Lepisosteus oculatus: one gene and its partner. The protein of the gene in region 2 binds, or shares a complex with, the protein of the main gene of each other region. Links are inferred from orthologs where the notes say so. Each region holds a gene or a part of one and is shown on either strand. Other genes may lie near its edges.

Region 1 (7,742 bases), on a different chromosome or scaffold from region 2:
TTGTGCTCCGTGCAGGTTTGAGCTGTTAAAAGCAGTGTTGTTGTCGCTTTCGTTCCCGAGATATAGCGCCCCGGTCTCGTTCTTTTTTTTTGCTCAGTCTGTGCAGGTTTGCGCAGTTCAAAAGCAGCGTGTCAGGTGCTTGCGTTCCCCGGAATATAGCGCCTTGTCTGGCTCCACTACCAGATGAACAACACAGCCCCGCCCGCAGGCGCAATGACGCGCAGGAGACGAGGCTGGGCGCGCAGAGTGAATCGGTGACAGAAGAGCACGCGTGCACGCCCAGGTGTTGTAGTTTCGTGGCGATCACACAGACCCCACAGTAATTCGCGGTCATTTAACAGACCCCCATCCACACTAATCTTGGATTGTGCCGAGGCCCCATCGCTTCCGGCGCGCGTGCTGCTCGTGGTCTGCCAGCCCGGTCCATAGAGGTCAATTCAGCCGATGACCCCTCCTATGCGCTCATTCAAACAAAGAAGTCACAGCACTCCCAATGAGCTGGGGGCAGCTCAAAGATCCAGCGTAGTTCATACGTCAAGGAAGAGACCTTTCTTTGACGTCAGCGAGCTGCTGTCTGACGTCCTGTGTCGTGAGGATTAAAATATAGATGTCAAGGGAAACGGTATAAATATCTAGCCCGAGCTCGTTTATTTCAAATGACAGGCAGCTCTCCACGCTGGAGGAGAATTACTCACTGCTTCCTGAGTGTAGCGACGTTTCGAAGATACAGGCTTTAACGGAACAGAATGTCATTACCTGGGAAAGTCAGTTCAGTTATACAGTGACGCACATGGCTACAGAGGAAAACAGTATTATTCCATAACAAGGAATCGTTTCGTGAAGTTATACTGTACCTTTCGGTATAAGAACATCGTGACCCCAATACACTGACAATCGACTGAGTAGCTGTGGAATTTAACGTCAAAATATATTTATCCAACCACAGAGTAGTCTAATACTTCAGGTCTGAAAAAGACGACTGATACTATTTTCGGTTGCATGTTACAATATCTACATTGACCTGTACTGGGGAATCAGCGGTGTGTTTTACAAACCAGGACTCCCGAGAAAGACACGGGGCACACCTGAACTCCCCGGGTTCCGCCTGAATGAGCCCAGCCCACAAACCACTAGAATTTATACACAGACTTCCAAAAGACACGTTTCTCTTAATAACGCTAGAGGTCTGCGGTGCCTCTTAATACCCTGCCACGGGCGTGCAATTTAAGAGAAAATGAGAAGGCGAAAATAAAATAAAACATATTTGAGTAGAATCTCAATCAAATAGGCATGATAGTCTGTATCCCAGTGGGAGTATTCGGAAGCCTTCAGATTCATTCCTCGCCGCTGTGATCTGACAGCACGGATCACCGCCAGCGACAGTTCACCTGCCAATGTGTTACCGCGACTTCACTCCTTCGACAAGATTATCGCTCTACCTGTCTGCTAATATGTTCTAGGCACGGTATCGCCGACGGATTCCAGTTCCCGTGGAAAGACTTTAAAACCTTTACTTTAAAAGGCTTTTGCATGGACAGGACTCAGACAATATTGCATGAGCACCGTGACAGGTATGCCGGGCCACCTGAGTCCGCGAGGCACGCTCTGCTGCTTCGAAACCCGCGCTGTTCACAGACTGTTAGAACCAGAGAGGTCCACTCCAGTCAGAACAGCCCGCAACTGATGTCATCCGGGGAACGCCAGCAAAGGCGTAGATGCAGGTTTAAGTGTTAATCTCTCATTTACATTCCTATCAAGACACCCTTCTAAAACAATAATTATAGAAACCCGCTATCTGAGGTCCACTCATCAAGTTTTATTCTCCCGTTTCAAATCGGACAAATGTCATTTTACAGGACGCCATATTTACAGAGCCTATACCAAAAAAAAACAACCGACAAAAGCTGGTCACAAAGATGACTTGGATGTGTCACGACCATAAAGACAAGGGGGGTCATGCATTCTCACCGGGGTCGTGTCGCTTGTGTCATACGCCTTCTGGCGACAGTGGCCTATTATCGGGCTTCGACAGGTGATCAGAACCTGTCCGCGTCTCGCCCTGGGGGGCGGCGGCGGCGGCGGGAGGGGCAGGTCTTACCTTGGACTCGGGCTGGACCGACACGGTGCCGGGGGAGCGCTGGAGATCCCGGTTCTGGGGCTCGTTCTCCTTCTCGTTGTTCTCCGTCATCGCTCCGGGGTCCCGGCTCTCGCTGCTCGCGTCCCGGACGGTTCTGCGCCGCGCTCGCGCTGGAGGCTGGCCGGCGGCCCGGCTCGTGCCGCGCCCGCGAGCGAGTCAGTCAGGAAGCGGTATCCGGCTGAGCCTGCTGAGTGCAAGTGGGTCAAATCCTCCTTTTTATTCGCAAAGCATATTGACGATTCTCTTCGCAGGGAATGACAATACTACTGAATTACGGCTTATACCGTATTGTCTCTTTCACTTAATGTACCATTTCGTTCTGTTCAGGTTAGCGATGCTCGTATATATATATATTGTTTTTAAAAATCAATTATTTTTTCAGTTTCTTGCGCGGCAGTCACTTTTTGCAAACTGCCACACGCGTCAGCATTGCCTTTGGTGTTATGTAGCCCCCATGCATTGAAACGTACACACCGCAGAGGATAGTAACACTGGTAGCAACTCTCTTTTTCAGAAACACAAGAAAACCAAGCCGCAGTGGTCTGAATCCCAGTGAAGTGCGCCTGTCCTGCGACTCAGTCAGATCAGTGCTTTTAATTCCAGCGCTCTCAGATATACTGGCCTCGGTGGCGCTATCGACTTTGCAGTTCGCCCTTAATCTAGCCCAGGTGCTGTACTGGTGGAGCACGCCAGATCTGCAGCCTCACACGCGCCTTTGCTACAAGTTTGATTTAATAGAATGCCCGACCACGCTTCCGCGGCTCTGTGATTGGAGCGGGGTTCTCTTTGATATGCTAATATCGACCGCCGTCCGCACGGTGATTGGCCGCTGTGTGTGACGTCGCCGCGCCGGGGCGTGTCTCTGGGCACAGGTAGATGTTTTGGTACCCATTTAAGGTGGCCCCAAGAAAAGGAGACGTGCTCTGTTCTAGAAAGAATATTGTGACAGTAATAGGAGAATCACAAATAAAAAATATGACTTCCTTGTTTGTGCAAACATTCGTACGCACGGTTGATTATCATTATTGAAATTAAATGCATTTTGGCACCAATACGAACTGCAGAAACAACATACTACACTTTCAAAGTCAAAGGGCCTGGTAAGACAACGCTGATAGACAACGGGTCCTTAACCAAATGGATCTACACACACAGGAGCGCAAGAATCAAGCCAGGCAGCATTGCCGCGTGTTGCGGACTGCATCCCAGAGAATGGGAAATGAATTTCCTATCGGCGAATGATCAAATGGTTTTCAGGGGCGTGAACACCGACGTACAACCCTCATCTCGAAAACCCGCTTTAGGAGAAACTCGCACGTCATGTAAGACTCGTGATATTTAATGACCTTGCCCATTAAAAAAAAGAGAGAGAAACCGTCTTCGGCTTGATCACATTTTGTTCTCAGTGAGCTGCAGAACGGCCTTTGCCAAAGTAATAATTCCTAATGCCCACCTTTACAGCATGAAAACAGCCCTACTAGACCCGAGCGTGAACTTCACCACCTTTCCCGTGAGGAAGACCCCCAGCAGCAGCTCCAAACGTGCCTCCGGAGAGGATCTGATCGCACCCCAGGCGTTACTAGCAACGCGCCTCGCGCGCCAGCACGCCCCCCCCCCCCCCCCCCCGCGCGGAGGGGCGCTTTAATGTGCCCGATGACTCAGTCGCGCGCTAACTATAGAAACTATTGAACGAGAATTACAGGTGTGCGCACGCAAACGGCGCCTTCTGAACTGCCCAGGAACAAGTAATAGGTTTATTCCTAGTCTAACCCCCCGCTGAACTGCTCGACCAGACAGCCTCTTGACGCGCTCTTAGCAATTTTGTTTTAAGCATGGCGCGGTGCAGACAGCGGTCGGTCACTCCATACAAGCTCGTTGCCTCAGCAGGTTGTATTCGGTCCCGTGCATCTCCAGTCAAGGAGGGGGTTAGGGGCGAGGTCTTTGACAGCGCTGCTTTGATCAGCCTCTATGGGCTGTTCTCGTCTCTCTGCGCGATAGTGGGAGGAATATACCCACGATCCTGCACACTCCACGGCAGCGGACCGGACTCTGGCATAACGGAGTGACTCGACATTACCGTAAATAACCAGAGAGAAAAAATTCAACTCAATTTGTACAACAGCTTGGGAAAAGTGCTTTGGGAAAACGTTCCAGCGGGCACCCATCTCCTTCCCGAGATTCCAGCATTTTCTCCCGTGGGACTGGGAGGGAAGCACTAGTGACCCACGAAAAACGAGTGGACAACAACAGGTTTTGCGGTCGACTCTAGGTGCGCCCAGTCAAGAACAACACGCTCTCTAGCGGCTGTTCTAGAAACTAGAAGTATCGAAGCGATGGTCGCTCGTCTCGCTCCATCCTCGCGGCGTAGCAGTACAAGAGTCTGGAGTGCGTCATGTCAGCCGACGTCATTCAATTGGCGTTGACCCTTCTTTTTGCCCGTTTCGGAGTGAAAGTGCCGAGGGCCGCCGAAGACCAAACTTCGGGCCTGTGTGTAAGAACGTTCCCCCGCGGGGGAGTCATGTTAGCAGGAGACTTGAACGGACAGGAAGCGTGTGGCGGCTGTCTACTGCTCTGGAGAAGGCGAAGCAGTCTGGGTTATTACAGAAAGAGGCCATACTGCTCACCACCACGCTCGCTGTCTTCCAAGCAGAGCTATTTTTGAACACTAACTCCTGTCTTAGCTGGTGCCAGCCTTTCATATTCTCGGAGGGGGGGGGCATTGTGGTACAGGGGGGTGGTGGTAACACACATATCTCAAAGAACTAGAGCACTCCAGGCTCCGTGTGTCTCTCTGGAGGGGGGCAGCGTGAGGGGGGGACACTGTGTGGCTCTCAGGTATGCTGGGACTGGGGGTGCCGGAGGGCTCGCTCGCAGGGCGGCTGGGGCAGAGCCGGTAGTGGCCAGGTGTGGGCGCACGGCGTGTCTCCTGGGGACATGCAGGACCACCGCCGCCTCCTCCAGCACGGGCTGGTGGAATGGCGCAGTTTCTAATTAAAGCCCCTGTCATGTGTGTGCGTGTGCTCTGTGTAGCACTGTCGAGATACAACAGCACACAGAAACGCGTGGGATTAGACAGCCAGCCCGGCAAAGCAGCAACAAAGCCTTTGAAATATATCATCCTCTTCCCCTCAAATTAGCATAACACCCTTCTCTGAAGCCCCTTATCAGTCCGCTGTGCAACCACAGTCTCTCTCCTCCAGCGCTGCTCGTTTATTTACAGAGGAAAAGCCATCACAACCAGCGGCGTGCCAACACACACAGCAAAGGCTCACTCCAGGTCACCTGAATGTTTAACAGAAGCGTTTTAATGAGAAGTCCTTGATCTGCGTCTGTGCACGTATGCACACAGATGCCTATTTTGCAGTGACGTCTGCCACTGTTTCATCTCGGGCTTTTCAGAGATCACAGTGTCGCTGCTGAAGGATTTAATGGACACAAGGTCATTCTGAATTGTGTGCTTTCTTGTGCATTGAATTCTAAAGCATCACCCTGATTTAAAAAAAATCTCTCTAAAATTGCAAACAGATGTCTTCACCCCAAAACTACACATCCTTATTACCTGTACAGCGCTTTGAGTGGAGTGTCCAGAAAAGCGCTATATAAGTGTAAGCAATTATTATTAATGTCTGCAAATGATGGTGACATTTTCCAGAGTAGCCCAATATCTCCCTATGATGGTCCATGAAGGTGTTGACTCATCCCTGAGACAAAGTTCACTTACACTATCTTAATATATCAGGGGTGGGCTCTCCTGGTGCTGGAGGGCCAGTCTGTCTGCAGGATTTCTAGGTCTTTTCAAAGCAGCTGATGAACTGGAAGAAGCAGTTAAACTGGATAAACTAATAATGAGCTGATTTAGGAGCTGGGATGGACACCTGCCCTCCAGCACCAGGAATGCTCATCCCTGTACTATGAGGTAAACTCAATTTAGCCAGTTTTCTTCTATCTCAAGTATTCGCGGGTTGCACAATGACTTGAGACATAGAATAAAAGCATCCATACTTTTATGCAATACCAAGCTTCAAAGGATCTGCTGAGAATCATGTTTCAAAATAAGCAACAAAAGTAAAAGACAATATTCATCTCTGCTGCTGGTAGCAGTTGATGCCTCTAAAAGTACCCTCCGCCTTCATTTTGTGGGGTGTGGGATTGGGTAAAGGAATCATATGAAACTCCTGAATTGCAAAACATCACAGTGCATTACATATTTTTTGAAGACTATCGAGTATCTAAAAAATAAAGAGCAAAACACAGACATCTGCATTTCATCTGCTTCCTGAGTTCTGCAAATGTGAAGTACTGCAACCCCCTGCAAAGACCAGCTCACACCCTCTTCGCTCATTGCAAACACTGAGACATTTACATGCAAATGAGCATGCAAAGAATAGGGGAGCGCCTCGATACAGCACTGATTCGGGTGCAGACGTGAGACGCATACCGTCGACCGTCTCCTCCAAAGTGTGATGAAACGAAATGATTGTGCATAAAACTGGGCCAGCGTGCTAGCAGACAAATAAGAGTGAAGAAAGAGGAGCGCGTGTTCATAACACCGCTGAAGCTGTCCCTTGTATTCAAATCAAAGAGCGCTGTGTTGCTATTTATACATGAATGTCAGCATAAATTGCATTCATCAATTATCACTGACTGTGTTGTTATGCTTGCTGTCTATTACATTTAATGCATCCTTCTTTCAAGGGACATTTTACTGAGCTTACTTACTCAGCTAATAAACCAAATATCATCCATCCTGCCATTATCTGGAGACTGCTGATGAGGATAGCAGCAACCCAGAGCCTGTTCTGGGAGCACATAGGATCAGATGGAGTTAGCACTGCTGCCTCACAGGGCTGGGTCCCTGGGTCCAGTTCCAGACCTGGGGTGCTGTCTGGGTGGAGTTTGTATGTTTTCTCCATATTCATGTCACACAGTCCAAAAACATACTGGCAGCTTAACTGGCATTTTGGGGTAATTGGGCCTGGTGTGAGTGTGAATCTGTGTGTGTCCTGCCCTGTGCCTGTTGCTTGCCAGCTCTGGCTCTCCAACGGCCCTGAAGTGGATGGAATAAATGAGTGGATGGAGGTGCAGGACTCATCCTTGATGTTGTAAAAAGGAGACGGGAAAAGAGAAGACAAAGGAAAAGAATGAGTTTTAAATAGAGCACTTTAGTTTGCTATTCAGTCAGATGGATTCATTTTTTATTCATCACTTTGAAGTGATTTTACCGGTAAGATAGTCTTCCTGGGATTCGCTGTTCCATTTCCTCTGTGTGCATGCAAAGATAGTAACTCCTGATGAACGGACAAAGTGGGGGTGACCCACCATTAAAACTGGGGTTTCAATAAACCAAATGGCTTTTCATCTAAATCTAAAAGTGTAGAAAATACTGCAGGAGTGTATGTGAGAGAGACAGTTATGTGCATCTGTGTGTGAGCGAGTGAAAGGCTTGTGCGAGGATTTGCGTGCTTGCCGAGATTATATCCATGAGTGCATCCGTGAATTCCAGGCCGTTCTTCCTTTCGGATGAAGATGCAGGACTGATCTCCACCTTGTGAGTCTGACTGAGGGAGATGATGTGAGGATGGTGTTCTGAGACTCCTGTGTAGGA
Region 2 (7,914 bases):
AGATGTGGCAGCTTGTACATCAAAACAGGCTCGATGCACTTTCTCTTCTAGAGGGCTGATAGTCATGTGTCCTGACATAAATGTTTGCCTTTTGCCTTAAACTAGACGATTCTCTAGAACTCAGGTCTCTGATTTTTCCAATCTAATTAGTCATTCAAACAATTAACCTAATTATTTCTAAATTGGACCTATACAAATTTTTCATAGAGTGTTTTACAGTTGATTACGCAAGCTATCAATTCTCCAATCACTTTGCTTAAAGGTTACTTATAAAACACTTCCTACCCTGGTTGAAAAGCATTACATTTTTGTAGCTAATACAACAATTACACCAATTATGTAACCGAGAACATGGGTGGGACAAAATCCAGAAGACACTAGACTCTCCAGGTATTGAGTTTGAGACCCCAGCTCTAGAACATCTTAACACTTACTAAAGACATTGAGGTTAAGTGTTAAATAGCATTACAAGTTTAAGCATTGAGACACATAGTTTATCCATCCATTATGAGTAACTGCTTTGTGCTGAGGGCAGGTACAAGGGGCAAGGCTCACACACATGTGAGCAAGTGAGAAAGTTAGAGATAGTAACCTCAATATCATGGCTTTGGATTGTGGGAGAAAACCTGTGTGGACATGGATGGAACATATGAACTCCACACAAAAAGCCCCCCAGGCAACAATGAAGCCAACAAAGAACAAAGAACAAAGATCTGTGAGGCAGCAGGTTTTACCATCACATCACTGTGGTGCTTCAAGCTTACTGTGTTGTATTGCAAGGTGTTTGACTTTGGTGCAGTGCTGTCGTCTGTGGGACTATGACTCAATACCTCTTAAGTCAATTGTGTGGAATTGATTAACCGTCATTTGTAACTTTTCTTATGTTCTCTTGTTGGTGGATGTTTAGACATTTCTACTATTTCAGTCATTATGTAATGGGGAGATGGGTCGTTGTCTTGTGGCATGACTATCGAATCTCTGCGGTGCCACAAGAGGGGCTTTTCTTAAGCAAACTCAGAAGGTCTTGAACTTTCATTTCAATGTAAACTATAGGGAACGATGCTTTGTGAAACTGTGCCATCCAAATTGATGTCTATTGAAGGCATCCTGACATGCACAAATGCGCAGGATGCAGGAGCTCCATGAATCACTTTGAGGCCGACACCTTGATCACGCCTGATTTACAGTTCAAGACACCTTGCCGCTGCAAGGCTTTGGTAGTGGAACCTTGGCCCTCTCCCAAGTTACTCAGTCATTTGGACCACTACAGGTGTCAGTGTTTTCATACTACAGGGGCCGCTCAACTGGTCTCCCTTTCAGCCAGAAGGGGGTGCTGGAATTAAAATTCCCCCTGCCAGCAGAGAGTGGTGTCTGTTTTTAGCCTGTGACGCGAGCCAACAGCTGCAGTGCCCCAGAATATCATTGTGTCGTTTAAATATATATGCATTAAAAAAACACCTAAATTTCTATCATCAGCTTCGATCATTGGGAGCACGTTTCTCCCGTATTTGGCTCCTTGACTAGCTGCCAAGCGCATTATCCCATCTTGGAAAAATGCTGTTTTCAAAAGGCTCTCTCCTCTGATGTTTCTAGAAAATTATTCAGTTTCTGGAAGTGCCTATGGGTTAACCTAACCTTTGACCCAGGGTGAATATAATTGTTTTTTTTTTAAGTTTTGACATTAATCAGTGAACCCAGGAGTAAGAACTAGAATTTTCATCTTTACCAACAAGAAGAAAGGTCTCAAGTCTCGATTCACATTTTAGGAACATTATGCGCCTTCGCTAACATAAGACTCTTGAAGCAGTAAACATGTCCCACTGCCAAACTGAAAACCTCTCAGAACCAAAACTGCTTTCTTAAGCCTGTGCTAACAAATGAATAATCCTTGTGCCTGACTGGTTTTAAACTGCTCACACTTGTAGGTCGTAATGTATCCAGAAATATCTCTGCATCTAGAAATGAGAAGCAACTCCACTGAGAACGCCGGTGTCCTGTCCCATGATTAATCGCGAACTTTCCAAACCAAATTTCGGAAAAAGCTACTTAACAGAAGAATCTTTCTTTTGGTCACAGTTCCAAATCCAGCCATTTAAAGATGGAAAAATATGAACAATTGTCTATGAACTGCACTTGGAATACAGGTATAGACTATGAACTATTCAAAAGCCAGCGTTGTCTCATGTTATTTTTTCTCTTTAATACAAAAGCCCTTTGCTGTAAGATTATTGGGAAGTTGAATCTGCGCAACGCCATATAAACAACTCATGACCATGTGAAGAAACTGATCAACCCTTTTAAATCCAAGGGTGTAGGGCTCCTCATAAACACAGCTAGAGAGAGCCAGCCCTGCTTTCTTTGACTAGCCAAACACAAAGTTTCCCGTTGCATAAATGAAGACATGACAAAGACAGCAGTCCCAACTACCAACAATCTGTAGCTTCCTGCCCTCAGAGTGACTTACTGACTTTTCATTCCGGTTTGAGGGCTGGCCATGCTCTTAGCCGCTGGCCTCTCTTTTGCTCAGCTGGCCCCCGAGCTGGCCGTCCACGCGCCTCGCCGAGCTCGAGCCCCGAAGGATACTTCCACTCCACGATGCTGATGCAGGCTTTGCGGAAGGGGTTCTTCAGGGTCAGGCAGCACAGCGAGCGCGGGGGCCGGGGGTTGCCGCCGGTGGCTTGAAGTTTCTTCAGTTTCTCCTTCTGCTTTCTCCTCAGGGTCTCGCTGTCCATGATGATGGAGGCGGCAGGTCCCACCGCGTTGGACTCCGCCGTAGCCATCCTGGGGGCAGACCAAGAGCCGTGTCCCGACGGTGACGGTGTGTGAGGCGAGGACCCAGTAATCCTTCCCGCTGTAATCCTGGTAAGCCCGGGTTCGCCTGTTCCCCCTCACTCCTTTATTTTTCTCCTTCCTTCCCGGGACCAGCAGGCACACACTCACACACACACCCCCCCTCGCCTCCGCCTGCTCTCCCTCTCACTCTCTCTCGCTCAGCGGAGAGTGGAGTGCCTTTCTGCTGAGCTGGGTTTCTCAGAGGGTAAAACTACACCAGGCAGAAAGCAGCAGGAGGAGCAGTTGCCTCTGCGGCCTGAGCCGGGCCAGCATGGTTTAAATATAGACTGTGAGCGATGTCTCGGCAGTGGGGGGTGGGTGGGGTGGCGATGGGGCAGCGTAAGCAGAGCAGGGAGGCAGAGAGGCGCAGGGGCCGCCGAATAGCCTGTGGGCCCTGAGGCAGCAGAAAAGTAGGAAAAAGAAGTGCAGCTGTCGTCGGCTCATCCCACTTGTAGCTCCGAGCTCTCGGAGCAGAGCCGGGAGGGCGAGGGGGGAGGAAGTGGAGCTGGGGGAAAGGAGAAGGGGAGGCATGCTGAGAGCTGTTAAACAGCAGCAGCGGAGGGGACGGCACGTTTCGATGCCTGTCTTCAGTGACACAGTGCAGATGGTGGGAGTGTTTATAACAGGCCTGTTAGCGAGACAGCAGAGTGGGGTGGCAGGGAGTTTTAGGTGGCACACCGAGAAGCGACGAAGCGTGGAAGCGAGTTTCAGGAGCTTTATTTAAACATTTACTCCTCCTGAGCACAACAAACTGCTGTGCTAATATACGGTTCTGCAAATTTGCCAAAATCGTGTGCTCCATTTCAAGACTCCCAAATCAGCTAATCCAGTTTACAGCTTTTTCAAAGTTGGTCATTTAAACCTTGGTTTTGTGATGAAGTGTTCCAACAAAACTAGACAAAATTAATCTTCAATATAGAATCCGGTAATTATTTTTTAATCTTTAACAATGATAGAGGTATGCATTTATTAAACCTACAACACTGAGAGCTCCTGTGAGGCCTCAACCAGAAGTTTTCTAATGACACTGCCTGGCTGCCATCTGATAATAACCAGAGCCCAAACAAACTACAGATTTCTTAATGATGATAACACTAATTCATGTGGTCACGCTTGTGTTGCTGGTATTCCCTGCAGTGTTGCATTCTGTAACTAACAATGTATTATGCTATTTCAGTCTTATTTCGGAAAGTATAAATGTTGCATAAATCAGAGTTCAGTTTATTTGTCAAATGCATGAAATGCTTTTAAGTGCAATGGAATGCTTATATAAATTCATATAAGCAGAACAGTCATTTAACATCGGTAATATAAAAAAATAAATTTGCAGTTTATGAAACATCAGGGTACTGACTTCACTTACAGTCCTTATGGTCCAGGTGGAATGTGCAGGTGAAGAGTCTCTGACTGTGCAATGGCTCCACCTAGTGGTTCACAGGGATGTGCAAGTGAGGCAGTACTAGAGATACTGCACTAGAGAGGGACAGCTCTAGTTTCTGAGTGCTACATTCTTAGGATTCCTAAAACCACCAGTGGCTGAAGATCTTTGAAAAGTGTTAAACTAATCAGGTACGGCCTATACAAAAGTTCATTGCTCCAGTACTGGAGAGATGCAGTCCAGCAGCAGGAAAAACTGGGGAAAGGTGTTAAATTGCAGAAACAGTTTCCCTCCAGAACTGGGATTGAGTTTATAACTGTGCATCACATAATTAGGTTGTGTAAATCTGACAGATCAAAAACAGTGTGTGTCCAGTAGAACTATATGTATGTACTTATGCATTAGTAGCAAAAAATGCATTAATTGCTGTAGTAATCAAAGAGCTAAACACAGTATATCAAGATGGTAGTCATATTTAAAAGAACTATAATCATGGTGAAGCATCTCTTTGAAAAAAAAAATAAAATAAATGTTCCTTGAAGCACAAACACACAGTTTTCATTTTTACTTTTTATTAGAAAGTTTTCCATCATACATCATTGTTGGGCTAGGGTCTAATGCCTCTTACAAGTTGAAGGGTGCTACACAGAGTCTAGGATAAAGTGCAAAGCAGTATCAGTAAAACTGGTTACAAACTGTCATTTAAAGAACAAACTTTGACACACGGCTCTAGTGGTACAGTGCTGTCAACATGGCAATAAGATCAAGATTGAAAGATGATCACAAACACACACAACACTAATCCTGCTATTTGGTATGAACTGTGTAAGGATGGTCAAACAGGAAAGACCTCAGTGGTTTTGCAGTCACAGATGACCTTGAAACATCAAGGGCAGTTGCTGAGAAGGGGATTCGCACTTTGATTTACAGAAAGTCTCCAAAACCATTTCACTAGCAATAACATCAACCATGAATTAAGGTACCATTCTACCTTACCATTATAGGTATATTTGGAAGTGAATTAAAATCTGAAACTTGTGACTTGGATTACTGTATATCAACTAAGGCTTCAATTATTATCCAATTCGGGTGGGCTGGAATGAAAACCAGGAGATGTGTATGGTCACCAGGACCAGGATTGGGAACAACAGTTATAGATCCACATTCCGCCTTACTATGTCTGTAAAGGCCAGGAAAGGCAAGCACCTTTACATTTCTTTCTGGAAGTCTCTGTTTTGTCCCAGGTTCTGTAAATGTTCCAGCTGAATTACTGTTTACGGTCTATCATCTTATAGACAAACTGTCACATCATAGCATTATAATACATACGTGTTTCTGAGCTTAAACTAGCTCAAAAATTAAAACTCTTTCCTAAGAAAACTAAATTGGGTAATTTCAAGTAAAATTACATTTTTTTTCAGAAACGTATAAGAACACAGTGTCATGTTTTTTACAGCTCAGCAAATACAGTCTGCAGGAAAAGGTTCAATGCAGTTCATTAAAGTAGTTTGGAGACATCATCAAGCACTACAGAAAGGCTGTAAATGGTTTTTAGATTTATGACAGATGTGTGATTTAATTTTTCCCTTCATGTCTTACCTAAACTTACCTTCAGTCATGATCTCTCCACCCCTAAGACACTATGAGCAGTGTTAAAAACTACAGTTGAAATACTTCTGCTTCCTAAAATGTTTTAGCTTTCAATATCGCTCAGGGACTGTTATGAATGGAATGACCAAAAAACCTGTGGCCCACAAAGTCTCTGAAGTCAGCCTTGACTTTTGCAATCCAGTTGTCTGGGGTGCTGTATTAAACTGAAATGTGAGAAGAAATTTGAAACCAGTGATGTCCACAGTCCATGTTGTCTGAACCTCGGGATTACACTGATCTATTGAAATATCGAATGGACGTGCCTTCCATGACTCACATAGATCTTGGAGTGGGTTGTGATGCTCAAGAACTTGATAGCTTCTGGTTCTGTGTGGTGGATGATGCCAGCCTCATTGGGATTTTTAAAATCAGAGTACCCTGACTTTTGTTTTGGTTGTCAATGTGCTGAACCTTTAGTTAGACGATTGACAAGGATAAAGACCTTACCAGAGCTGCTCATTCATTGGTCCAGTGCTCATCCTGGTTTCCACAACGTCATGGACTAGTTAGGACCCACCCACCGAGAAGGGATGCTGGTCTGTTGCAGGGATCAGCCCCAGCAACACTCACCTCTCTAGAACAGCAGGGTGTCATGTGGGGACTCAAACCAACAGCCTGCCACTCATGAGCCCAAAGGTTTCCCCCTTGAGCATGCCACTCCCTGCATCATAGCTGGGGGTTAAAAGGTAGCATGAGCCCCTCCTGTAGAGGTCCTGACCAGCTGGCATTCAAACAGAGTCGACACATCGCTAAGAATGGTTACAATGAGAGAGTGTCATTGCCACTTGTTTCTGTATATCTTTAATTGCTCATCTATCAGGAGTTATTTAGACCACTGTGGTTGAGCAGTAATTCTAAATTGTTGACGTATCACATTTGCCACATTTCATGGAAATAATACACAGAAAGGAGAGTATTTCTCAAATCAAGATGGGCATCAAAAACAGTTAAAATCAAGCGGATGATTGATTTATGTTCAACTACTTTATCTAATTAAGAAATCGGTTGGATCAAAAACCAGGAGTGAGAGGGACACTCCAGGAACAGGATTAGGAAACCCTCATTAATTTGTGGTAGTTTTATCCCTCTGCCCGTGTTATGGCTTGTCGGTCTGCATCCCGCCACAGTCAGAGCTGGTTCGTCTCTAGCAGCTTCAGGCGGGCCTGTTCTCCCCCTACTCCGCCTTCAGGCCTCAAGCCTGCAGTCAGGGCCCGGCCCTCTCTAGCTCAGCGACTCCTCGGACTCGCAGTACGGAGAGTCGGAGGAGGAGGAATTCTGGGATTCCCCGTCGCTGTTGCAGTCCCTCTTGACGCCTGCCTCGGCCGGGGTGGGAGTGGCATTTCTGGGGCCCTTGCCGCTCCTCTCCTCTGCTTCGGCGCCCGCCTGGGCCCCCCGGCTCACCAGATCCTGCAGGTACTTGATGTAGCGGATGGCGGCCCGCAGCGTCTCCACCTTGCTCAGCCGCTTCTCGGACACGGCGCCGGGCAGGTGGTCCCTCAGCCTGGCATAGCCCTCATTGACGCACTTGACGCGCTGCCTCTCGCGCTCGTTGCGCTTCTGGATGAAGGCGGGCTCGAAGGGGCAGTCGTACACCCCGAAGTGTCCGTGGAAAGGCACGTAGGGGAACAAGGCACCCCCGTAGGACGCCTCATAGTAGCTGGGGTCCATGTTGGCCGGGTACAGAAGGAAGGGCACATGAGCAAGAGTGTCTCCGGGTCCAGCAGGGGGGTGGCAGCGGTGGTGGGCGTGGTGGTGGTGCTCTGAGTGTGAGTGACCACCAGGGGGCGCTATGCCATATTGCACACAGCTCCCTGGCATCATGCCGGGTCTGCGCTCCATTAAGGCATGAGAGAAGCTGGCATTCATCTCTGTGGTGGCAGAAGAGGTGATGAGGGGCTGCAAAATGCAGGCAGACAGTCATAGAATGTCTTGATCTCACTGAAACCCCCAGTGAAGGTGCAAAAGATCAGTTAATAAGTTAATAGTGTTTCCTAAAATTCCTTTATGTATATTTTATTCTGCTAAAGGAATGTTTAAATGCTCTCCTGCCAACA

Evidence for each region. Proteins that work in one complex are often made in the same cells at the same time.
Region 1: the proteins of voltage-dependent L-type calcium channel subunit alpha-1S (region 2) and SH3 and cysteine-rich domain-containing protein 2 are in contact, whole or in part, in a crystal structure (PDB 6B27), measured with the Homo sapiens proteins. The link is inferred for Lepisosteus oculatus from reciprocal best matches to the Homo sapiens genes CACNA1S and STAC2. Residues at the interface, in NP_000060.2 of Homo sapiens: Glu749, Pro750, Glu751, Ile752, Pro753, Ser755, Pro756, Arg757, Pro758; in NP_945344.1 of Homo sapiens: Tyr301, Lys302, Phe303, Gln306, Glu307, Asp310, Asn326, Asp328, Trp329, Phe340, Pro342, Asn344, Phe345.

Annotation. Positions count from the first base shown.
Region 1 is NC_090723.1:5,904,419-5,912,160, reverse strand, and holds the start of SH3 and cysteine-rich domain-containing protein 2, read right to left. Parts: upstream 3,100-7,742; 5' UTR 2,189-3,099; coding exon 2,099-2,188; intron 549-2,098; exon of another isoform or gene 1-548. UniProt on the Homo sapiens protein: Plays a redundant role in promoting the expression of calcium channel CACNA1S at the cell membrane, and thereby contributes to increased channel activity. Slows down the inactivation rate of the calcium channel CACNA1C.
Region 2 is NC_090700.1:36,990,359-36,998,272, forward strand, and holds the start of voltage-dependent L-type calcium channel subunit alpha-1S, read right to left. Parts: upstream 3,081-7,914; 5' UTR 2,781-3,080; coding exon 2,584-2,780; intron 1-2,583. Other genes in the region: achaete-scute homolog 5, read right to left, coding at 7,082-7,726. UniProt on the Homo sapiens protein: Pore-forming, alpha-1S subunit of the voltage-gated calcium channel that gives rise to L-type calcium currents in skeletal muscle.